Mus musculus: one gene and its partner. The protein of the gene in region 1 purifies or fractionates together with the protein of each later gene. This does not show direct contact. Links are inferred from orthologs where the notes say so. Each region holds a gene or a part of one and is shown in the gene's direction. Other genes may lie near its edges.

What was found.
Region 2: the proteins of Twf2 (region 1) and Capzb purify together in Homo sapiens (co-immunoprecipitation; 3 studies listed by BioGRID and IntAct, with this or other methods). This does not show direct contact. The link is inferred for Mus musculus from reciprocal best matches to the Homo sapiens genes TWF2 and CAPZB.

What each region holds. Positions count from the first base shown.
Region 1 is NC_000075.6:106,196,971-106,209,274, forward strand, and holds the start of Twf2 (twinfilin-2), read left to right. Parts: upstream 1-6,137; 5' UTR 6,138-6,289; coding exon 6,290-6,314; intron 6,315-9,918; coding exon 9,919-9,996; intron 9,997-12,304. Other genes in the region: Ppm1m (protein phosphatase 1M), read right to left, coding at 257-369, 772-1,026, 1,131-1,254, 2,000-2,223. UniProt on the Homo sapiens protein: Actin-binding protein involved in motile and morphological processes. Inhibits actin polymerization, likely by sequestering G-actin. By capping the barbed ends of filaments, it also regulates motility.
Region 2 is NC_000070.6:139,250,407-139,262,097, forward strand, and holds part of Capzb (F-actin-capping protein subunit beta), read left to right. Parts: intron 1-6,854; coding exon 6,855-6,976; intron 6,977-11,577; coding exon 11,578-11,691. UniProt on the Homo sapiens protein: F-actin-capping proteins bind in a Ca(2+)-independent manner to the fast growing ends of actin filaments (barbed end) thereby blocking the exchange of subunits at these ends.

The sequences.
Region 1 (12,304 bases):
AGGCCAATTCTAGTCACTGTGATCCCTGATTCAAATCCTTTCAGGACTTTTAAGACCTATAGAGTCTTAAGAACAGCTCTTTAGCATTGCACCGATGGCCCCTGCTAAAGATGGCACCCTTACTGTTGGCTTATGCCAAGTACAAATCCATCTTGGCCAGCCAGTCCTCCTCATTTCTAACCCTCCTTTTATTGTCTCAACTCCCCCTGGTACCCTCCTGCCCACAGCCCTGCCTGCCCTCCAATGGTCCACTCACCTGCTGTCCCCAGCATTGGCCACATACAGCTTCCCTTGCAGGAACACCGCCACCAGGGCTGTACAGCCACCCACCTGTCCTGAGGCCTCCAGCTCTCTCCCAATCACATCATCCTGGAGCAAACCAAGGTTGGTAGAGCTACCACGCCACCACTTCCAGTCCCCTTACAATGGCATTCCCACAAGCAGGCCTATAGCATCTCAGCTCAAAAAGCTTGGCTATTAACTCTTGAATACCTCGTAAAGAGAATTGCACAAGGGAAGTGTAATTCAAAACAGGAAGAGAAACCACTGCCTGCACTGAGGGCCAATGGCATGTACAGGTGAGCAGTTAGCACACAGCAGGAACTAGATACATGGGAGGGGTAAGCTGAAGACCATGGGGCTGTTACCAGGAAGGAAGGAATCAGCAACTTCTCCACAGTCCAAGGAATGGTGACTATGGTGTGCCCTTATACCTGGACTTCTTTAAGTCCCTGGGGGGACATGTCCCTTCTCCCCATAGGCCCCACTCACACATTCCTGGAAGGCGTTCTCCAGAGCCCCGATCACCAAGTCTTCTGCCTGGATCCCCTTTTCCTCCACGAACTGGGGGTCACTGGGGCAGACACAGCGGCCACTGAGGTGCATGGGGGGCTGAGGGGCTATCATGCCTTCAACCACAGCCTCCAGCTGCCGGCGAAGGCAAGAGTGCAGGGTGTTGGCAGCCAAGATAGCTGCAGCAGGGCCACCATGCCCATCAAACAGTGCCCAGTAGTGACCCGTCAGGAACTGCATAGGAAGAGCTCTGTGTCAGGCACCACCAAGCTTCCCCAGATGTCCCCCTGGCCCAGCCCGAACTAGGACATGAGACAGTAAGACAAGGCAGTGCTCACCTCCTCTGGGCACACCGTCAGCCACTCTTGATGTTCTTCGATCCCAAACTCACATCGCCGGATGCATAGCTTCCCGCAAGCAGCCTGGTCTTCGTTGAATTCAGATTTTTCTGCATTGATAACCCTAAGGCCACGAAATCAACCATGATGTCTCATCTATGTCATTGTGGGCACAGAGACTCCACTTGGGACAACTGCTTCTTGGTGCTGCGCCCTGACACACTTGGACAACTTTGTGTGTGTGTGTGTGTGTGTGTGTGTGTGTACAAAGGCCAGAAGTGGCTTGCCCTCCTCCTTAGTTTTTGAGACAGGTTGGTCTCTTACTAAATCAGGGCTCATTGATTCAGCTAGAATTTCTGGCCAACAAGTCCGGGAGTCTTCCTGCATCTGCCTCCGGAGTGCTAGGATTTCAGGCCCCGACTGGCACTCCCAGCTTTTTAACAAGGTTGCTGGGGATCCCAACTCCAGAGCCTCATGCTTGTTCTGCAAGTTTTCTAACTGTTCGCTGGCTTGCCCCTTTTAGAGTCACTGTACTGGCCCAGGGTTTGGGAAGTCCCACCTCAGTCCCTACCTTATCCCACAGAGCATAGGCCAAACCCTAAGTGAGGTGCGAGGTGGGACATACATCTGCAGAGGCCAGAAGAAAGGAGGGTCCAGCCGGGTGCGAGCCCTCCCGGGGACCTCCAACCTTCTCAAAAGAAAATGCCAAAGTGAGAAAAAGGAGAAATGCTGTCAAGGTTGAAGACAAGAAGAAGGTTAGCGGGGATGTGCACACCCCGTCGGTTTTCCAGGTCAGCACAGAACCAGACGGGATCAGGCAGAGGGTCTGGAGGGAACGCGGGGGGGGGGGGGGGGGCAGGGACACTCACTCTGCGTAGCCTGCGTTCCAAGGCAGTGTGCGGCCCCGTGCTGGGCTGCGCACCGGCCGGGCATCGGGGCGGCGCGAGGCGTCAGTGGCGCCCGGGCTGGAGCCGGAGCCGCGTAGAAAGCGGGGCCGGTGATAGGGCACCGGGCTGGAGCGCGGCCCGGCTGGCCGCGGCTCTGGAAGTGGACCCCCGGGTAGGAAGCGGCGCCGGAACCAGCCGGCGGACATTGCGTGGCGGCCGGGGGCTGCCCGCGCACGGCGGGACACCAGGGTCCCGCCCGCCCGCCCGCCACTGGGAGGAAGCGAGCCTGGGGGTGGGGCCTGGGGGTGAAAGAGGCCACGCCCCATCCCGCCCATCGGCCCCTGTGTGTGCGGCCAGTTTCTTTGGCCTTCTGTAAGAAGGAGATGTGGTCACATATCCCACTTTACAGGCAGGATAACCGAGGCCTAGCGAAGTGAAGACGCCTGCTTGCGTCAGAGTACCACTGAAAAGGCACAAAGGCTCACCCGCACCTGTGGGACTCGATCCTCTGAGAGTGGAAGCCCTTCCCCTCTACTCTAGGAACCGTGGAGAGTCATCCAGGATGGGTGCTGGGCAGGCGCTTACAACAGAGCCTTGCCCTGCTAGCGACGGTCTTCCGCAAGGGGAGGACGGGGACAGTATGTCCTTGGAGGTGTAAGAGCGGGCTCAGAGTGCTCCAGAGTTCTATTCACCCTCGACCTCATCTTCAGAAGCCCGCTCCCAAATGTCTGCCCCTACAGTTAAGATGGCTTCTCGCCTGCGCAAGTGCCTCCCTGGAGTGTGAGTGACGGACAAGAGGAACCTATGGGAATTTAAGAGGGAGTGTAGCTCCTTTCTCCTGCTGGTCTAAGGTGCAGCCTTGGACTGAGGGAAGTGGAAATTTTCACCAACCTCTTTTGTTTTGAGAAGGCGCTCACCATGTCATCGCTCTGGCTCAGGATGTCCCTTTACCCCTAGATAGCTATAACTATTGGGGGAGAGCGCCTGTCACTTTCTGTCGCCTAAGTCTAGGTGCCCCTCTGCAAGGCCTCAATTTCCACTTCATAAGGGAGGACTCAGACCCACAGAGGGGAAGTGTTAGACGCCCAGGGTTCCCAGTATGACAGTGTAGTTGAGTCAGACCACCCCTCAAGCCATTTCGCTTCCTCTTTTTTCCTCCAGGAAACCAATTTAAAGTCTCTAAGGCCTAAGGATGGATGGATGAGGGGTTCCCTACCGTTGACTCTGCTCCTAAGCCCAGCCTAGTACTCACTAGGCCTCTCTTCCTTTAGTCAGTTAGCCCTGTTTTGCCAGCAGTTCCTCCTGCCCAAAGAGGAAGGCTCTTGGGAAACAGCTGCACCCCAGTAACTGGGGTAGGGGCTACCCTACTGAGCCCACCCAGTAACAGCCACACACTGGGAGTAGGAGGACAGTGTTAACAGAGGGACTGCTGAGCCCGGATGTAATAGTAGTTCTGATAGTGCCTGGCCCAGCTGTGAATGGGGACAAGGTCTGAGACACTCCCCACTCCCAACCCCTGCTTCCAACTAAGGAGGAGAAGGATACATATGATAAATCTTCCTTAGTTACTTTAGTTCTTGCTATAACAAAGTATCTGCAAAAAGCAACTACAGAAGGAGTAGCTTCCTCCATCACAGCAGCAGCAAGAGAATCGGGGATGCTAGGCAGCTGGTCATGAGAGTCTGCCACCAGGAAGAGGTGTGTTCAGACCCCAGCCCACAGCGGGTGCTGCTCACATTCAGGCCTGGTCTTCCCTCCTTCTTAAACTTTTTGGGGAAATGCCCTCACAGACAAGCTCAAAGGTTCCACACCTGGATAATTAATTTTACAATCAAGACCATCACCACACTGTTTTACATAAGCTTGCATTGCCTATTTACCCAGCCTTGACAATCACAATTCTTGTCAAAGTTTTAAAATGTTTGCCTACAGTAAGTAAGATTCCAGATACAGCTCAGTTTTCATGTATTTAATGAGTACGGACCAGGCAAGCAGCTCCTCATCGACTTGTGGGACAGCATCCATCTTTGTGGGTGGCCTGTTTCCTTTATCCAGTTTTCTACCTCACCACCTTTTTTTTTAAACCTCTTTTTTTTTTAAAAGATTTATTTATTTATTTATTTGTTTATTTATTTATTTATTTATTTATAAATTATATGTATGTACACTGTAGCTGTCTTCAGATATTCCAGAAGAGGGCATCAGATCTCATTACAGATGGTTGTGAGCCACCATGTGGTTGCTGGGATTTGAACTCAGGACCTTCAGAAGAGCAGTCGGTGCTCTTAACCACTGAGCCATCTTGACAGCCCCCTTTTTTTAACCTCTTCATTTGTTGACAAAGTCCCATGTAGTCCAGGCTGGCCAGGAACTCACTATGTAGCCCAGGCTAATCCTGAAACCCCCACCTCCCTCTCTCTCTCTCTCTCTCTCTCTCTCTCTCTCTCTCTCTCTCTCTCTCTCTCTCTCCCTTCCTTCTTTCTTTCTTTCTTCCTTCCTTCCTTAGCCCAGGCTAATCCTGAAACACCCCCCCCTTTCTTTCTTTCTTTCTTCCTTCCTATTTACTTATGAGACAAAAATCTAACCATGTAGACCAGGATGGCCTTGAAGGCCTTTGCTTCCTTAGTTCTGGATTATAGTTATTTGCCAACATACCTGATTTATGTAGTGCTAAGGATCAAACCTAGTACTTCACACATGTCACGCAGGTTAGAATGATCTATCAGCTGAGCCAGCCCAAGGATGCCATTTGAACTTGAGTTCTCTCACAGATTTGGGGTGTGTGTGTGTAGTATATACATACACTGTGTATGTTAGAGTACAATGTGGAAACCAGAGGTGGATGCCAGCCAGTCAGCCTCTATTGCGCTTTCTCTCTCTCTCTCTCTCTCTCTCTCTCTCTCTCTCTCTCTCTCTCTCTCTCTCTCTCTCTCTCTCTCTCTCTCTCCATTTGGCTGGGTTGGCTGACTAATAAGCAAATAAGCCCCAATAGGTATTGGCCTGTCTCCTCAAACTCCCTCTCCCAAGGTCCCCAGCCTCCCTGCACAGTCCAAGGGGAAAGCCAAGTGTCTTCATTCTGTTGCCGGGAATCTGAAATTATATGCTAACTCAGCACTTTACTGACTGAGCCATCTCTCATTAAGTTATCTATTTTTTAAAGTTTTTATTTATTTCAGTAAAAAAAAAATTTTGGTGTGTGTCTGGGTGTTTGGCCCGCATGTATCTATGTGCACAATGTCCGTGTCTAATCCCAGGAGGCCAGAAGAAGGAACAGTTGTGTCATGTGGGTGCTGGGAACCAAACTTGAGTCCTATGCAAAAGCAGCTAATGCTCTTGACCACTGAGCCATCTGTCCAGTCCCGTTTATCTATTTTTTAATAACAAGGTCCAGGGTGGAGAGATGTTTCTGAGGTTAAAGAGTACTAGCTGCTATTCGGCCGTTAGTCTGTAAGAGCAGTAGGAAAGGCTGCTGGGAATAGAGGCAAGGTCATTAGGAATTGGGAAGTTCCTCAGGTTGACTTCCAGTCCTTCCACCACTGGGTCACACTTAGCACATGCACCGTCTTTTTGGAAAACTTTCCTCAGCCTTGTTAGGTCACCTCGGTCTCTCCTACCGTATTCCTTCCAAAATTCATTTCCTCCTATGGCCATTCACTTTCTCAGCGTTGGGCTCCAGACACCGTGCACCTGATGACTGGTAGGAAATCAGTACACACACACACACACACACACACACACACACACACACACACACACACACACACACACACACACACATACACACACACACACTCACACTCACGACCACACACGAGCGCGTGCCCACCTACACTGAGATCACCTCACCATCACAAACGGGTACGCCTGGATCGGCCCTCACTCTCAAACCTCCTCCGCGGCAAGCTCACAGCCCCTCCCACGCCCAAGTGCGGATCCGCCCACAGACCTCCAGGATCCTGGCCTACAAGGGACCACCCACACAATCCCTTGGGGCCCCTTCTTGGCCATGAAGGTGGTAGCGGCCGGGCACTGGGCCATCCGGACCCCGGCGCCCGCTGCGCGCACGCGCGGCACCAATGCCCGCCTCTGCCGGCCTCGCCCTCCGGGGGCGGGGCGCGCTGGGGGCGGGTCCTGCGGCACCGCCCGGGAAGCTGCGCGAGGCTCGGTGCCGTCGCCACATCCTCCGGAGCTCTGGGTCCAGGCGAGCCGAGTCGAGCCGGGCCAGGACCAAGAGGAGAACTCCGACGGCACGGGCGAGCCGAAAGCTGAGCCATGGCGCACCAGACCGGCATCCACGGTGAGGGCGGATGGAGGGCGGACAGGGGCTCCGCCGCGCTGGTTCTCCGCGCTAGGTCCCTTCATCCTTCTCTTCCTTGTACCCTCCTGGGAAGCTTCCTGTTCTCTTTTGCAACCGCGAGTCCCTGGGATGGACACGTCTTGGGGCAGAACAGACTGTTGTACATAGCTGGGAGTGGGTGCACATGGATGCACACAGCGAGGGTGGAAGTATCTTGTGTACCCAACTGGGGGCGGATGTGCCTGTGTATACTGGTCTGGGTATTTTTGTTCTTTTCTGGAGGTGGGGTGTACCCGGATGTGCACATCTGGAAAAGTGTACATGGGTGTACACATGTTCTCTGTATACAGTCCAGTATGTGCACATCTGGATGAGACTTGGTTATGCCTGTCCAGGCTTCTTCGTGTGCATGCACTAGTGGCTGGTTTTGGACACTCTAGGTTCCATCTCAGACATCAGTGTTTCCTGGCTGCACGCACAGAAACTGTGGGTATCTGCATGTGTGCACAGTTCAGGCACATCTCAGTATGTGTGTGTTAGCATGGGTGTTTGCATGGGTGTCTTATGACTGACATGGGCTTATGTGTATGTGTGGAGAGGGTAGCCTGACCTTTTCTCCTTTCAGGACCCCTAGACTCTTGCAGACTAGGTTGGACAGAAGCTGGAATGGAGCCCTCCTTCTTAAGTAGAATGGGGAGAACTGCACATCTGACCTTGGCCTCTGACTTCTTCCCTTTTCCATTGTGATCTCTCTATCGCTGCTCCAGCCAGGCCTGCAAAGTCCCAACTTCAAGCTGGAAGCAGGGGAACGGGTCAGGATTCAGACTTTATAGGGGAGCTCCTGCCTCCACCCTCATCTACAGGAAGCTTCTACAGCCCAGGGCGTGACACCCATAGCCCCCCTCCAGGGCCCCAGTTTCCTCCTTGGAGAGACTTAAGAAAGAAGCAATAGCTGGGAGCCAGGTATTTTGTCCCCATTTGTTATGGGCCTGGAAGGGCTGCTTCCCTGGCCAGTAGGGAAGGCCAGGCTGCTTGCCCAGACAGCTTGTTGGTTTGGCCATCAGCCACTCCTACCACCACATCATGATTCCCTGACCAGGGCTACCACCATCGACCAGCCTGACTGCCGGAATCCCTGCCTGCGGTTGTGGCTGCTTGGTGGATGGACAAGCCAAGAGACTTTCCCTGCCCTAGCCCATCCCCATCCTGTTTGTCCTGAGCATGCAGGGACCTGGATCAAGCCTGGCCACCCACAGGTGGGCCAGCCTCTCCTAGAGATGGAGGAGCAGGTTTCTTGAGTCAGCCCCAAAGAGGGGAACTGTCAGGGTAAACTGCTGCCTGGCCTGCCCCTTCCTTCCTCTTTGTCTGGTCTGAGCTGCTATCTCCAAGAGGGAGGAGGTGCTACGAAGTTTTACACACACACACACACACACACACACACACTGCTTACAGATCCTGTGGCCAAGGCTCTGCCCTATCCCTTCATTCCCTATGAAGTGAGACAGGCCTGCCCAGGGGAGCCTCCCAGTCTCCTGCCTATGAGGATGTGCACCTTCTTTTGTGCCTGCTGGAAGTGGCAAGAAAGACCACCATGGAGGATCAGGTGCCAGCCTTGGCCAGGCCATAGGTGTAGGCCTGCTGACCTCAGAGTGGGGCCCAAGAGGGACAGTAACCTGAGGCTTGCTAGAGTTGGAGGTGGGCAAGGTGGGGGCGGGGAGGCATGAATCTTTGATGAAGGAGGCTCAGATGTCCCAGGCCTGGCCTCTAGATTATTGATGGTGACTGGGGAGACATTGGGGTGGGGTAGGAAGAGATGTCACTTTCCCTGCTGGCTTTTCAGTATGCCCTGGTAACAGTAGAAGGGGCTTGTCTGCCTCTTCCTCTGGGGAGCTTCTTAGCCTCTCTCTCTCTCTCTCTCTCTCTCTCTCTCTCTCTCTCTCTCTCTCTCAAGGTCTAGGCAGGTAGGAGGATCAGTAAAACACAGCTCCCTTAAGATTTTTTTAAAAATGTCAGCAAAGTCCAGTTCCTCAGCTCTTTCTCCCACACACCACAGGCCTCTGAGTTTGAGGGAATTAGCTGTGTTTTATAGATGAGGTTCAGGTTCAGAGAGGTCAGGGGTCACACAGCTAAGGGGAGCTGGGGCCCCAAAGATCAGGCTTAAAGCTTCAGGCTTCTACTCATAGAGTTAATCAGTTGTGCATGCCGAGCAGTGGTGGTGCATGCCTTTGATCCCAGCACTCGGGAGGCAGAGGCAGGCGGATTTCTGAGTTCAAGGCCAGCCTGGACTACAGAGTGTGTTCCAGGACAGCCAGGGCTACACAGAGAAACCCTGTCTCAAAAAAATAAAAAAAAAAACCAAAACAAAACAAAAAAATCATTTGTGCATACCCAGTGGGGCTACGTCCCCTTGTGTACGGTACCAAGCCATGCTTCTGTCCCCAAGGAATTGTTAAGCTGCTAGGCCCCTGGCCACACAGTGACCTTCGTGCCTAAGGTTCAAGCATAAGGTCACTCTGCAGGGAGCGGGGAGCACCTGAGGACAGACTAAGAGTTTGTTTACCTAAAGCCCCTCCACCCCGCCCCTAAGCTGCCCATCAGCTGCCCAATCCAAGCCCTATAAATACCCTGTGATCTCAATTCTCCAACTGTGTTTTTGCCGGGGTTCTTCTGACCCCTGGCAGCCCCAAGGTCACACTCACCCAGAGGCTCCAAGCAGGTCCCTTACACACTTGGACTGTGTCTTCCCTCTCTATCACCATTAGGAGAGCTGAGATGACTCATGGTCCTCGAGCTGTGGCCATGGTCCTCACCTTGGCACCGTGTCCTTGGTCATTAGTCACCTTCCATCTCTGATGCCCAAATTCCAAGATGGAGGCTTCTTCCTCAGCACCACTCCTCCTCCTGGTAGCCTTCCTTACTGCCTGAGGTCTGAGGCGGTCTTGCCTCTTGATAGGGCTGTGTTGGGGCTGGTAGCCCCTGTTTTGGTACAGACTGACTGGGGGCTTGAACTACGAGTACATTCATGTGACGTGCAAATTTATGTCTCTATATTTTGTTTATCTTGCCTGTACACATGGTGTAGTCATACTTTGCAGCTATGTCTGCTGCCTGTATTTGTGTTGGCAATCCAGGATTGTATCTGTGCATGTGTGTGTGTGTGTATACACTTGTGCATGCTTGTATGTGTGGGTGTGTATGTGTGTCTTTGTTTGACTCTCTAGATGAGACTCAGTCCACTTAGATTGACCAGCTGAGTGGGTGTTGAGTCACTGCTAGATCATCCTAGTGTCCAGGGACAAGTGAGTGCCCTTCATTCTGGCAAGCTTGTCTTGTCTTAGAAACTGGTCCATCTTCAAGTGGGCTGTCCTTCCTGTCATCAGAGCTATCCCGGCCAGCAGGCCACCGCCTGCCACTCCTGCTAGCTAAATTTGGGAGCTTATGTTCAGTGGCCATCTCAGGTTCCAGTCACATGGGGAAACCATATTTAACCCACTTCCCAGCCTGGCTACCACCAGACCCCACAGGACACCAGCAGACCCAAACTCTTCCCTGCCCACTCTGCCTGCTTGCTCACCAACAACAACTATGTTTCTTGTGCTTATAGCCACTGAAGAGCTAAAGGAATTCTTTGCCAAGGCCCGGGCTGGCTCCATCCGACTTATCAAAGTCATCATTGAGGACGGTGAGTGTCCCCCACGGGCTGGGGCATGGAATGGAGGCCGAACCCAGTCACTTCTGGGGATAGGAGAGCTGGGTATCAGCTTCCTTTCAGCCCCTCCCAGACCTCAGTCTCTGCATCTGAGAATGTAATGAGGCCTTTCACAGAGAGGTCTCATTGGGGTCCTGCAGTGGGGGTAGAGGGCACCCTGTTGTACAGAGTCCTTCCTGCAGTTCTGTCTAACCTCAGCCTGAGGCTGTGTGGCGTTTGAGATGAGCCTTGTCAGAGTATCGGGCTAGATATGTGGTAAGGGTCCAGTGAGCCCTACTATATGTATGTTTTGTGTCTGGGGGGTGGGTGGTATGTGTATGTGGTGTGTGTGTTCTATGTGTGTGGTGAGTGTGTGTGTATGTGGTGTGGTATGTGTGTCATGTATGTGTGTGGTGTATGGGGAGGTGAGTGTGTGTGGTGAGTATGTGTATATGTGGTGTGTGGTGAGTGTGTTGTATATGTGTGGTATGTGTGTGTATGGTGTGGTATGTGTGTCATGTATGTGTGTGGTGTGTGGGGAGGTATGTGTGTTTGGTATGTGTATATGTGGTGTGTGGTGAGTATGATGTATGTGTGTGGTATGTGTGTGTGGTGTGTATGTGTGTGTGTATGTGGTGTGTGTGTTGTATGTGTGTGGTGTGTGGGGAGGTGAGTATGTGTGTATGGTGAGTGTGTATATGTGGTGTGTAGTGAGTTTTGTATGTGTGTGGTATATGTGGTGAGTGTGTGTATGTGGTATGTGTGTTGTATGTGTGTGGTGTGTGGGGAGGTGAGTATGTGTGTGGTGAGTGTGTATATGTGGTGTGTGGTGAGTTTTGTATGTGTGTGGTATATGTGTGTGTGGTGAGTGTATGTATGTGGTGTGTGTGCGTGGTGGGTATGCATGTGGTATGAGGTGAGTGTGTGTGTGTTGTATGTGTATATGTTGTGTGTGTGTGGTCAGCAGATTGGGCCTGGCTGGACCTGGCTTGGCTGCTGGCTGTAGGAGGACTGAGATACCATGGACCTTCCCATAGTAGATGTCCCCAGAATGGGAAGAAAAAGCTATGTCTTGCTCATTCTCAGAGCAGGCTAGAGTGACACCATGCTTGACAGGGCCTTGAGCTGCCCCTGCGTTCTTACCAGGTAGTCTGAGGGTGTGGGGCTTGAGCCAGGGCTTGAAGTAGAACTATTCAAGGAGGCAGGGGATCCGTCTGAGGCTGAATGATGGGAAGACAAGGGGTCCCTCTCCCCTCTGCCAGTGACGGCCTCAGCAGGGAGTGGTACAGAGTCTGGGAGTAGGTGTGGGCCAGACCCTCCAAGGGTCCTTCAGCCTTCTCAGTAGTCACGCTGTCACGAGCCCTTTGGCACTGGACTCCCTGAATGAGCCTAGTGATATGTTTACTTAGCAGGCCCTGCCAGACTCAGAATCCACCACAGGCTTTCAGGCCACAGCTAAGCTGGGCCTTGTCCAGGCTCCTCAAATCCAGATGTCCTCAGAGGCTGGGTAGGGGTCATTATGGGAGGTGATAAATAGAGGTCTCCTGGGACTCCCCACCCTTAAAGAGACAGTTGAGCTCATTGGCCTCCCATTTCAGCCCTGCCCGTTAACCTCCCAGGAAAGGTACCCCTCGTAGGTGGTTCCCAGAAGCGTAAGGGATCTCTAAGTAGACTCACTCTAGTACTGCATTCCAAGCGTTGGGGAACCCAGGAATGCCTGGGGTAGGGGCCTATGGTCTAGATGAATGTGGGTGGAGCTCCTGATTTTTGTTTTGTTTTGTTTCGTTTTTTGTTTTGTTTTCTTTTGTTTTGTTTTTCAAGACAGGGTTTCTCTGTATAGCCCTGGTTGTCCTGGAACTCACTCTGTAGACCAGGCTGGCCTCGAACTCAGAAATCTACTTGCCTCTGCCTCCCGAGTGCTGGGATTAAAGGTGTGTGCCACCATGCCCGGCACTCCTGATTTTTCTAAAGAAATTAAATTATAAATTTGCTTTTAGACAACCACCACAACAGAAAACTATGTGTGTGTCATCTGTGTCTGTGTGGGGGTACGTGCTTGTGTATGTAGGACTTACGGAGGCCGAGAGAGGACATTATTGGTACTGGAGTCACAGGCAGTTGTGAGCTGCCTGACACAGGTTCTGGGGACCAAACCCAGGTCCTCTGGGAGATCAACAAGTGCTTTCAGTTGAGCCATCTCTCCAGCCCCAAGAAACACTCCTTATGTAAGATTCCTATTATAGCTTGGCATGATGGTATAGGCCTATAATCCCAGCATTGGAGAGGGTTGAGACAGGAGGAA
Region 2 (11,691 bases), on another chromosome or scaffold:
GACCTGGGTTCGTCTCAGGACTCACATGGTAGTTCACAACTGCCTGTAACTCCCGTTCCAGGGAACCTGATGCCTTCTTCTGGCCTCTGCGGGCACTGTACATATATGGCACACAGACACTTATGAAGACAAAACACCCATACATATTAAGAAGTGTTTGCCAGGAGAGGTGCCACATGTTTTTAACAGCACCTGGGAGGCAGCCTAGTCACAGAGTTCCAAGACAGCCAAGGCTATATAGTGAGCATGTGTCAAAGGAAGGTCAGAGTACTTACCTGGTTAGTTGGTTAGTGTGCATAAAGTCTTGGGTTGGGTGTTATGCTGCATGCCCATAATCAGAATTCAGGACAAAGAAGCACGAGGTGCACATGTTCGGAGTTCTCCTTGGCTACATAGGAAGTTTGAGGCGGACCTGGGCTACATGAGGCCCTGTTTGCTTTGTAGTGATTAGGTGCTAGCTGCTTAGCACTGGCGTTGATGAACGGGTCTGATTTGAACTTGGAACTGGGAAAAGCTGGTGTGACTGTGACACTCCCTCCTGGCCCTCGGCATGTGCAGTTTGTACTTGGTGAGGGGCAGGGCCTCCACAGTCTGTAACTCACAGAAACTGCTTTATACAGAGTGCGTGCAGTGAGCTTTTGAGAACCCTGTCCTGGGTGACTGTAGAGATAAAGTTATCTAATCCTTGGCCATGAAATGGTCAAGGTCTAAAACTGAGCCAGAGCTTCCCGATTGCCTGTGCTGGTGGAGCCCGAAGATAGACAAAAGGGTGTGGGGCCACACCCCCTCTCCCCGAGCCAGAATCACTAAGGTGCACCATGAGTGTAACTTACCAGCCTTGGAAAACGTAAGCCCGTCCTGATCCATTCATTTCTGTTATAAGGAGCCGGATCTCCATGGCTTGTCCAGAGCTCTGCATCAGTGCTGGGCATGTCGTCTCCATTTGCTCTGGGCCCTCAGTCACCAGAGTACTAGCCCACTATGGCAGCCATCTAGGAGCAAGACTATCTTGCCAGCTGTCTCAAAGCCAGGTTCGTGGCTCACTTAGCATTTTGAAGTTGGGAAGGGTACGCTTGACAGGTACATATAATGGTATTAGTAAGGACCCTACAGGGCAGGGTATTCAAATGAGGTTTATAGTATGTCTTTCTGCTTAGGAATCTGATGTTCTGTGAAGGCCTGAGGTGGGGCCTGGAGGAGCTGGGACCACACCCTGTTATGTGTGCTGGGATTGGGCACAGAGAGCAGGCCCTGCTCAGTGGGTAGTGGGTAAACACAGACACTGCTGTTCAGTCCCCTTCCTCCCCTGTCCTCCCAGCTCAGCTGGGTTGGGACAGCTTGCTTTCTTGGCCTTCTGGGTCTTGCTGTGTGCCTTGCAGGGCTGCTAGCTGCAGAGCTGTGTGGTGCCCCCTCCTGTTTTCCTTACCATTCCTGTCATTCTTGTGCTGGCCCCCTTGCCCCAGCCTCACCTAGTGTCTTCAGGTTTCTTTCCTGCTCTGGCAGTCTGGAGATGTCCTGCTAGTGTGCGTCTTCCTGTCTCTAGTCTCTTCCATGGTTCCAAACCAGTTCCTAGGTTAGGAGCCTGACAGAGGCAGAGCAGAGTTGGGACCTGTGTCTGATTTCTCGTTGTGTGCTGTGTTCCAGCGCTGGCATGTGCACCTCTAGGACACTCTTGCTGCTTTCATTGTTTCAGTTCTTAAAAGCATAACTTCAGGGCCTTGGGAGAACAGAAGAATCGGGTTGTAAGCAGAGCCCCCTGCTGGCCATCGAGGTCTCTGGCACCCAACCCTTTCGTCTGGAGTGGGGCAAGCCAGGACGCTCCCCAGCCACGGGCTCCCCATCACTCATGTGCATGTGCACCCGAGTGGACAGGGTCTGCTTTCGATCCTTATCTCTCCGGTGGCGGGCTCCCAGCCAGCAGGCAGATCAAAAGATGGAATGTGTTCATTTGGCCATTTTTTTAAAAAAAATCAAGGTCCAAAGGTTCACTTCTGAAAGGCGAGGGCGCCGGGAATTAGATTATCCGGAGAGCTGAACCACTCCAGCTTTTGTGCCTTTTTTTTTTTTTTAAGGGTTCATCTCAAGTTTCTTTTTCTGGTTGAACAATTTTTTTCAACATTAATAACTAATGGAGAAGAGGAAGAGGCAAAGTGGAACCATATGACAGCGCACACGGCCTTGCCTGTGGCCGGAAGCTTCTGATTTGTGTCCGCTTTCATGCGATCAGCTGTTGGGTTAGATAGTAGGAAAACACGCCATTTGGGCAAGAGCAGTGCTGCAATTTACCTCTCAACCGAGCTGAACTGTGTCCCTGTCCCTTCCTTAGACGCTGGCTTGTGTGACTTGGGTCAGCTTGTTTCTCAGGCCCCGTGTGCCTCTTCTTTAAAGTAGAGGTCTCTGGGCCACCAGGATGGCTCAGTGCATAAAAGCGTTGCCACCGAGACTGAAGACCTGAGTTTGATTCCCAGGTTCCACGTAGTGGAAGGAGAGAACCAACTCCCACAAGTGGTGTCTGACCTCAGTGTCTGCACTATGGCACGGGCACTTTCTTAAAAAATGAATGAGTGAGTGGGTGGGTGGGTGAGTGAGTGCGTGAGTGAATGAATATAGTCTTAAAGAAAAAAATAGTCTCTGTGAAAACCTGTCCTGGGGATAAAGGAGTGATGGCAATAGATTGGAACCCATGGTGACAGAACTCGTCTTTTCTATGGTTTATCGTCACTGTTGTCTGGTTTTTTCCATGTTGTCTCTGTGGGTCTTGAACTCAGTGGAGTCAAATGATCCTTCTGAGTCAGCCTCCTGGGTAGTTTGGACTACAGACATGTGCCTGTCCTGCCTCCCATTAAAGCTGCCTTTGCTGTGCTTGGACTGAACCCAAACCCAGGTGAGAATGCCCAGGGCGGAGGCAGGGCCTGTCCCAACAGACGTATAGCGTTACTATTCCAAGTCACTGGAAATTAAGTTGAACCCTCAGCAGCCCGGTTTGGCCAGCACCATTGCTGTTAGATGGACGTTCCACACAAAAGCTGATGGGGGTAGGTCACGTAGGCAGTGTGGAGCGCAGCCAAACACAGTCTATGCTGGCTCTGCTCCTCACAGTGCTGGAGCACGGAGTAGACTCAGGTGTTTGGACCTGGTCATTCAGCTCATTGATCACTGCAGATTCTGACACCCCGAGAGTGTGGCACAGCCAGGGGCAGGAAGAGCTGAGGCGCAGATTTAGATAACTGACTGGCTCACAGAGCCATTGTTTTCCAGCATGCTCTCAGGCAAAAGACCTCAATGCCTGCTCCCATGGGACCCAAGCATAGATTGAGACCCTCAGCAGCTGATGGGACATGGTGCTTGACTGGGGTCCCCTCATGGCTCCCTGGGCACAGTCTCCCGAGTCTCTGCTGGTATTAGGACAGCCAGTTCAGGAGCAATCAGGGTCCTCTGCTGTCCATTGGTGGAACTCCACGATGCCTGGAGAGAAGTGGGAGTCAGGGACAGGTCTGAAGGAGACTCGGGGAATATGGCAGAGTGTTAGATTGAACAACTAAAAACAGCTATCCTGTGTAACATTAGAGGGGTGGTCAAACTGGAACCGTCTTCCTTGTGACTCAAAATTCAGTTTAACTCAGCAGCCTATAGTTTCTGCACCAACTCTCAATGGGGAGGGTTTTTATACAAACTAGCATGTAGAGGAGATGGCTAGTAGTCCAGTGTTGAGAAGGTGGATAGAGGACAGGATGAGGGGCAGGACTGACACATGGTACACGAATGTACACGCATGTGCATGCGCACACCCCATGTGCCTAGGGCAGCTGCTCCCACACTGTATAGCCACACTGTATAGTCTGTACTTGTTTCCAGTGACAGCACAGTGTCATTCTAGACTAGGTTGTCTTTTATCAGAAGAGGGATTGATGCAAACAGAACTTGAAAATATGGCCCAACTTAAGAACTTGTCTTTTAGGGACCTGAGCAGGCAGAGCCAACTAGCTGTCTGTGACCCATCCTAGGTACTTGTGTGCTCGGGCACATCCTATGTCCTGCACGATCTCCATAGTTTTCCACTGTGTGCTGCCATGGTAAGGGCTCAGTTGAGTGTATGTTCTTCTGTGGTTGTTTGGAGGCGTGGGCTTGCAGAAGTCTGGGATTAGCTCTTTAGGGGTGGCTAGTCTCTGGCATAGTTTGCCTGGTTCTGTCCTTCTGTCATTACTGTGACTCTTCAGGCTGGGCTTGGGGCTTTGGTTTGGTAGTGGTGTTATTTGTTCGTTTTGCTGGTAACTTGAGACACTGAGAATTGAATTGAGGACCTCATGTGCAGTAGGCAAGCACTCTACCACTGAACTATCTTCCCGGATGTCTGTTTTCTCATAACACAAGGTCTTAAGTTACTCAAGTAGGCTTGAAACTCACTGTACAACCCAGCCAGTCTTTGAACTTAGGATCCTCCTGCTTCAGCCTCCCAAATATTTAGGACTGTGCCACCAGGCCTGGTCATACTGATGTGGAATTCATGGTCTTAAATCCTTCTTCTCCCTCAGCCTCCTAAACAGCCAGGATTACAAACGTACATTCCTGTGCCAGCTAGGAATGGAGCCTCTTTCCTTGCAGCTCGCATCGTCTTGCCAGCCTGGCTGCTAAAGGAGATCTGTCTTCCCAAGCATCCTTCAGCATCCGCTGTCTGAAGCAGCAAGGTGTATTGAGATACAGAGAAGGGCAGCGGGGCCAGAGAAATGGCTCAGCGTTAAGAGCACTGACTGCTCTTCTGAAGGTCCTGAGTTCAAATTCCAGCAACCACATGGTGGCTCACAACCATCTGTAATGAGATCTGATGCCCTCTTCTGGGGTCTCTGAAGACAGCGACAGTGTATTTACATATAACAAATAAATAAATCTTTTAAGAAAAAAAAGAAGAAGAAGAGGGCAGCATTGCTACCCAGACAGTGAGGACAGACAAAGAGGACTAGGAGGCTCAAGACAGGACTTGACAATCTGTAAGGAGACCCCAGCAGCAGCCCAGTAGCACAGGTGGGTTCTTAGTGGCAGGCCACAGCACGAAGGGCAGCATGAAGGTGCCAGGGTCATTTCACCGCGCCCATAAAATTCAGCCAGTGCCTCATGCCTGGCTGCCTCATGGAAGCCGTGAAACTTTGCTTCTACAACTAGGGTGTCCCAGGTGGAGGGCTCTAGCTATAACTAAGCTGCAGTGGGGGCTGGGAGGAGCTTTGTACCGTTACTGCTCGCTGTCCTTAGGGACCAGAGTGACAGGGTGAAGGAGTTTGGGAGTCACCTAGCCTAGGGTTGGATTTCTCTATTCACTGCTGGCTGTTGGTGTGACCCTTGGACAGCTTAATGATTCTGGGTCTTAACTCTGTAATCTGTAAATTAAGGTAACAGCTTCCCATTTTGTGCCCTGGTAGGAGCACTTAGGTAAAAAGCATGCTTTGTGATACCTGGTTCAACATCCAAACAGGCACTTAGAGGTGATAGAGAGAGATGTCACCAAAGCTAACTTTGAAAATGACCTTGCCTGTTGGTTGGGTGAATGCACAGGTGCGCGTGAACCATGTTCTGAAAACAAGCATGTCGTGCTTTGGCTGGAGGTATATGCTTCTCCTTGGGGAGCGGTGTATGTATAAGAGTTGGACCATCCAATGGAGCAAGAGGCACTTTGTATGGTAGGCTGTGATGTGCCCTAAGACAGTAGCATGCAGCATCAGAACCTGGTTGTCCTAGTAGTTCTGGCTTTTGGGAGGGACACAGGACCTGCGCTGCATGGCCCCCTCTGTTAGCAGCCCCTTGTCTGGTAAAAGATGAAGCAGGGGTCCCTGTAAACCCAGGCCCTGAGATGAGAAAGTCAGGATGTGGAAACAGTGTAGAAGTGACTCGAACAGAAAGGCATCCACTTATGCAAGGGCTGCCATCCCTTCCTGGAATGTTTTCATGGAGACTGATGTTTGTGTTGGGAGGAGGCAGCCCTGGCCTGCTTCCTCAAAGCCACACCCGGGTTTGGGAATTGTGACTTGTTCTAGCCCACCTGGGCCACAAGCTGTTTTCCCGGCACCTTCTGCTATACAGACCAGGTAAAGCTGCAGGTGAGCTGATTACTCTGCTGTAGAAAGCATATGGACATCTACCTCTGTAGTATATACAGCCGGCTATGGACAGCCTGGATCCACCTCTGTAGTATATACAGCCGGCTATGGACAGCCTGGATCCACCTCTGTAGTATATACATCCGGCTATGGACAGCCTGGATCCACTTCTGTAGTATATATAGCCACCTATGGACAGCCTGGATCCACCTCTGTAGTATATACAACCACCTATGGACAGCCTGGATCCACCTCTATAGTATATACAACCACCTATGGACAGCCTGGATCCACCTCTGTAGTATATACAGCCACCTATGGACAACCTGGTATCGCTTAGCCAGAGGCCTGGAAAGAGCTGGAAACTCCACCCAGCATGGGAGTCTGCGGAGTTCTCCAGAGCCCCGTTCTTCTTTGAGTTCTTCACATTCCTGTATATTTGAAGTGTTTGCCTTCTTCTCAGAGCCTGAGCTGGTATTTTGTCCACCAGAGACCAATACCCAGCACACACCCCCTCATACTCAAAGACCACCCTGGTGGCCAGGTAATTAAAGCCACACCCGGGTTTGGAAAGAAGGCTGCCTCGGAAATCACGTCCCACAACAACGCACGACCAGGTTCCTTTACAGAGAGCCGTGGTTGGGCATATGTGGAGAGGAGCAGACAGATTCCAAATTTTGGCAGAGCACTACAAGCCAGATGTTAACCTGGAGCTGAATTGGAGTTGTTACTTTAATGACATTTCTCCCTGTCCTCTCTTTCTGCCAGGTCCCCAGTCTGTGTGAAGATCTCCTGTCATCTGTTGACCAGCCCCTGAAAATTGCCAGAGACAAGGTGGTGGGCAAGGATTACCTTTTGTGTGACTACAACAGAGACGGGGACTCCTATAGGTGAGCTCTCACACACAGGCTCACCTCATAGCATGGGGCACGTGTAGCCCACCCACACGTCTGTTTGTCCTTCTCTCTCCTCTTCTCAGCTGTCCATCTGATCCACTAACAGGCTGTGTAGGCGCCTCCCTTGAGCTTCGGAGAGAGGGCCTTGGTGCCTTACAGTCCAATGGAAGAGCCGTGTTGTTTCAGGGCCAACTGCCCCGATAGGGTGGCATGTCTGTCCTTCCTTCCTTCCCTTCTCCCTTCCTTTGCTATTACCATGTGGCCAACTTGACATTGGTCCCTGCACGGGAAAACACAGGCAGTAGCTGATGAGCAGCTGTACTGTGATGCACACAGCCAGTTCAGAGCTGGCTGGTGGCCTTAGGGGAGCTGAGAAGAATCTATGCTCCGGGGAGATGGTCCTGGCTTAGATGTTTTTAATGAACTGTTTTGAGATGGTCTCAAAATATATCCCTTGCTGGCCTGGAACTCCCTATGTAGACCAGGCTGACCTCAAACTCACAGAAGTCCTCGTGCCTGTCTCCTGAGTGCTGGGATTAGAGACATGGACCAACATACTTGGGATCATCGCTCTTCAAACTTCCAAGTGTGAGAATCCCAGACCGTTCCAGGCTTTCCCTGGGGATGAGCACACTGGGTCTGGGCTTATTAGAGGCCACACTACCAGTGTTCTTTTTGAGAGGGTTTTGGAGACACAGGGACAGTGACCAGGAAGAGCAGTGTGGGCTGTAAACCAGCCCTGCTCCTCCTAGGGACATGGAGACTTTGACAGTCCCTTGTCATCTCTGGTCTACAAAATAGAAACAGTAGTGATCGTTCAGCCAGCAAAGCCTGCACAAGCATCCTGAGTGCTACCTGTGTGGCAGGCACTGCTCCCAGCTCTGTTCCTGGAGTCTGTTTTGTGAGGAATTCGAACGGCTAGTAACGTTAGGCACGTGCATCAGTGATGGAGATTACAAACATATTGCTAAAGAGAACAGAGCAAGAGGGGAGAGGCAGGGTGGGTAGCCAGTGGGGCCTTCTAGATCACAACTGTGCTCTAGAATGAGTTGTTGAGTCTGCACAGGTTAGGAGCTTCCTGGGTCCCCGGCCCTGGGTGGAGGCAAGCTCGCTCGCAGGTATCCAGGAGGCTGTGAAGGTAAAAGAAAGGTCAGAAGCACAGCGGGGCCAGCACAATGGGAGCCTTGAAGCTCCACCTCAAGTATGGGGTGGCACAGAGCTTGTCCTTGGTTTGAAACGAAGAGAAAGAAAACTAGTGGTGGTGATGGCCCCTCCTACTCCATAGGTTAGTTAGGGAATGACACACCTGAGCATGGGACTGAAATTAGTGGAGAGACTGAGTACTGATGGGTAGAGCTTGGAAGCAGAGTGACAGCTGGGAGGTGTGGGCACTGTCTGTGGAAAGAAGAATCTGGAGTGGGAATGTGAAATGCCTTCTGGGTGGGTGTGGAAGTGCCGTGCAGGTGTGACATGGTAGATCTGAGAGCTGGGCATCTGGGTAGCACTGCAGGGCCCCACTGTGAAGCTGAGGCCCCAGCTCAGGACAGAACTGGTCCCCAGCACATGTACCAGGGCAACCCTTGAGGAGACTTCCTTGAAGGTGATAAGCATGGAGCAGGCCAGGGAGCACATGAGCACAGTGAAAGCCCTCACAGTCGTGCGTGGGCTCGGTTCAGGCTTCCTGGGAAAGATACTGCTGAGACCAGTCTCAGTGGCCGCTGGTTCTGCTTTTTTTATTTTTAAACCTGAAAGCTGAAAGTGAGAAAACTGTGTGCAGGAAGGCAGGGCAGGGCAGGGCAGGGCAGGGCACAGCTTGTGCACTCCTCCCTCAAGGGCTTCAGCCCTTCCAGAGCACCCTGCAGGCCCCACCCCTACTCCCCAGACACCAGAGGGCTCTGGGGATGGGAGCCTCACAGGGGAGCAGCGGCAGTAAGGACAAAGCTTGACTCCCCTCTCCCCTTCTGGATCTGAAACTTCAAGGTCCTCTGATTTTCTCCACACATTTCCATCCTGTGTTTGATCGTTCGCTTAAATAAGATCCTTATGGTGAGGCCGCTGCCAGCAGCGCTGCTTGAACCCTGTTAGCTGAAACAAGAAGCCTTCTGGGGAAATGAAAGGCCTGACTTTTGAAATCCAAGCATTCCTGTCCATCTGTCTTTTCTCAAATGGCCTCCATTTAAGCTTTTAAATGTGTTCTGAGTGCCCCTTCCACTAAGAATATTCTGGGTAATGTTATGATTTTTCCCCTAGCTACAATTACCCTGGCTCCAGGCCTAACGTCTTGAAATGCCGTTGTAGTCTGTGAGGCAAGAGGAATGTGTAACACACTTACAGACTTCTTAGACTTCAGGCCCCGATCTGCATGGTGATGGGTGGTTGCGTCCTAGCACATTGCTTTGTTTTTAAACCGCATTTTGTGTGTGTCTGTCTGTCTATGTGTCTGCCGCTTATAGAGGTTAGGTCCTGAAGGAATCAGTCCTTCCTTCCACCGTGTAGGCCCTGGAGATTGAGCTCAGGTTCTCGGGCCTGGCAGCAGGCACCTTTGCCTGGGTCTCCCATGCCATGTGAAAGAGATGGCGTGGAGAGGGGGCTTGCCCTGCTTACAAGTATGCCAGAAGGTTCTCAGAAGATGCAGGGATGGGGAGGTGGGGTCCAGGTCACAGTTTGGGGTTCTTGCCCACTGTCCCACAGTGAAAGATCCAAACCTCACTGACTTGTGAGTCGTGGTGACCACCTGCACCTGTCAGCTGGCCTGGGCGATCTGAGGCAAGAAGCCTCTGAGTTTCTCTCCTTCCTTCCTGTCCTCAGCCGCCTCCTCCCTTTGTCCATCATTTGTGTTTTGGAGATAGGGTCTAGTTACATAGTTCTGGCTGAACTTGACTCCTGTACCTGCCACACAACGGCAAGGACTACAAGCACACGCTGCCTCCCAAGCTCCACTTTACTCCCTGTCTGCAAGACCCTGCAAAGTCTGTCAGAGTCCCATGAAGGCAGACATCCCACGGGCCCTCTCTGTCAAAGACTCAAGCTAGTGCTGGTCTTGGGGTGTTGTCCCCCCAACTCTGTTGGGGAGTGGTGGGCGGGCTTGAACTTGGAACGGAGGTTTCTTGTTTTGTTTGGGAATTGAGTCTAGGCACCTGAACATGGACAGGTTTCTAAAGGCCCTGCTTAGGCTAGAGAGATGGCTCAGTGGTTAAGAGCACTGACTGCTCTTCCAGAGGTCCTGAGTTCAAATCCCAGCAACCACATAGTGGCTCACAACCATCTCTAATGTGCTCCAATGTCCTCTTCTGGTGTATCTGAAGACAGTGACAGTGTACTCTTATACATAAAATAAATAATTTATTTTTTAAAAGGCCCTGCTCTCTGTGGATAGGTGAATTGCATCCTGGAGCCCTCAAGGGAGTATACACAACAGCTCGGCCCCCCTCTAACACGCCCTGGACCGTCCCTGAGAACACTGTACCTCTAGAGCCACCCCTAAAACACTTCCACCTTTCATGTGACTCACGGCTAGACTGGGTACCAGAAAGATATATCTGTGTGGACAAAGTGGGGGACCAAGGGACAGCAAGCATGTTTTTCCTCTCTTAATGTTAATCCCAGATTGAAAAGGTGTGAGGCTTAATGATTGCTGGGGAAGGCAGTATTCGGCCCTGTGGTAGCAACGCAAGGGTGTAAGTAAGGCTTCTCTTCAGTTGATCACATCTCCCCTCCCGCCTCCGTAGACTCCCTCACTTGTTGGAAATTTCACTTGATGTGTGTGGGTGTGTTGCCTGCATGTGAGTGCCTCTGGAGACCAGAAGAGGATGGTGGGTCCATGGAACTGGAGCTCCAGGTTGGGAGCTGCCAAGTGGGTGCTGGAATCAATCCTGGGTCCTCTGGAAGGACAGCAGTGCTCTCAGCGACTGAGCGAGCTCTCCAGCCTCCCCTAACCTCACTTGTTAGGTCTTTCTGAAGATGCAGCCTGAGACCTCCACCCTTGGGAACAAACAAGGAAACCTTGTAAAAGACCTCTCGTTGCCCTCGGTGACTGAAAGTTCTCCTGGGACGGCGAAAAGCGTTTTTAAAATGCTGCTGGTCTTGGGGTTTGCTTGACTTACCAGGCTTCGTGTGTGCTTAGCCCAGTGTACTGGGAAGCAGCTGTGTTCCCTAAGGAGCTAGGCACTCCATTTCCAGAGTGTCTAGGCTTACTGCCTGCTTCTGTAACTTATAGTCGTCTTCTTAATACTTATTGTTTGAGGGCTGAGGAGCCTCCAGCAAATCAGGGAGGTGAGGGGTACCAGCTGACCACTTTGGTGAGCACAGAGAAATCAGGGAAACGCTGGGACTTGTGGCCAAGGCTCCTGCCCTTCTGTTGGTTCCTGGAAATAGTACATAGTAGCGAATGGTAGCCTTGTTTTCCACCGGAGGAAGTGAGGCTTGGAGCTAAGGTGTTTGCTGTATTAGTCAGTCTGCCGGCTTCTGAACCTTTGCTTTGTAAGACTCTCCAAAAAGCCTCCTGGTGACTTGGCCCCTGAACCTCAGGCAGCTGAGCTGGGGCTAACTGTCTCTGGGATGATTCATAGAACCGTCTCCTCCTTCCTTCTTCCCAGGTCACCGTGGAGTAACAAGTATGACCCTCCTTTGGAAGATGGGGCCATGCCATCTGCTCGGCTCAGAAAGCTGGAGGTAGAGGCCAACAATGCCTTCGACCAATACCGAGACCT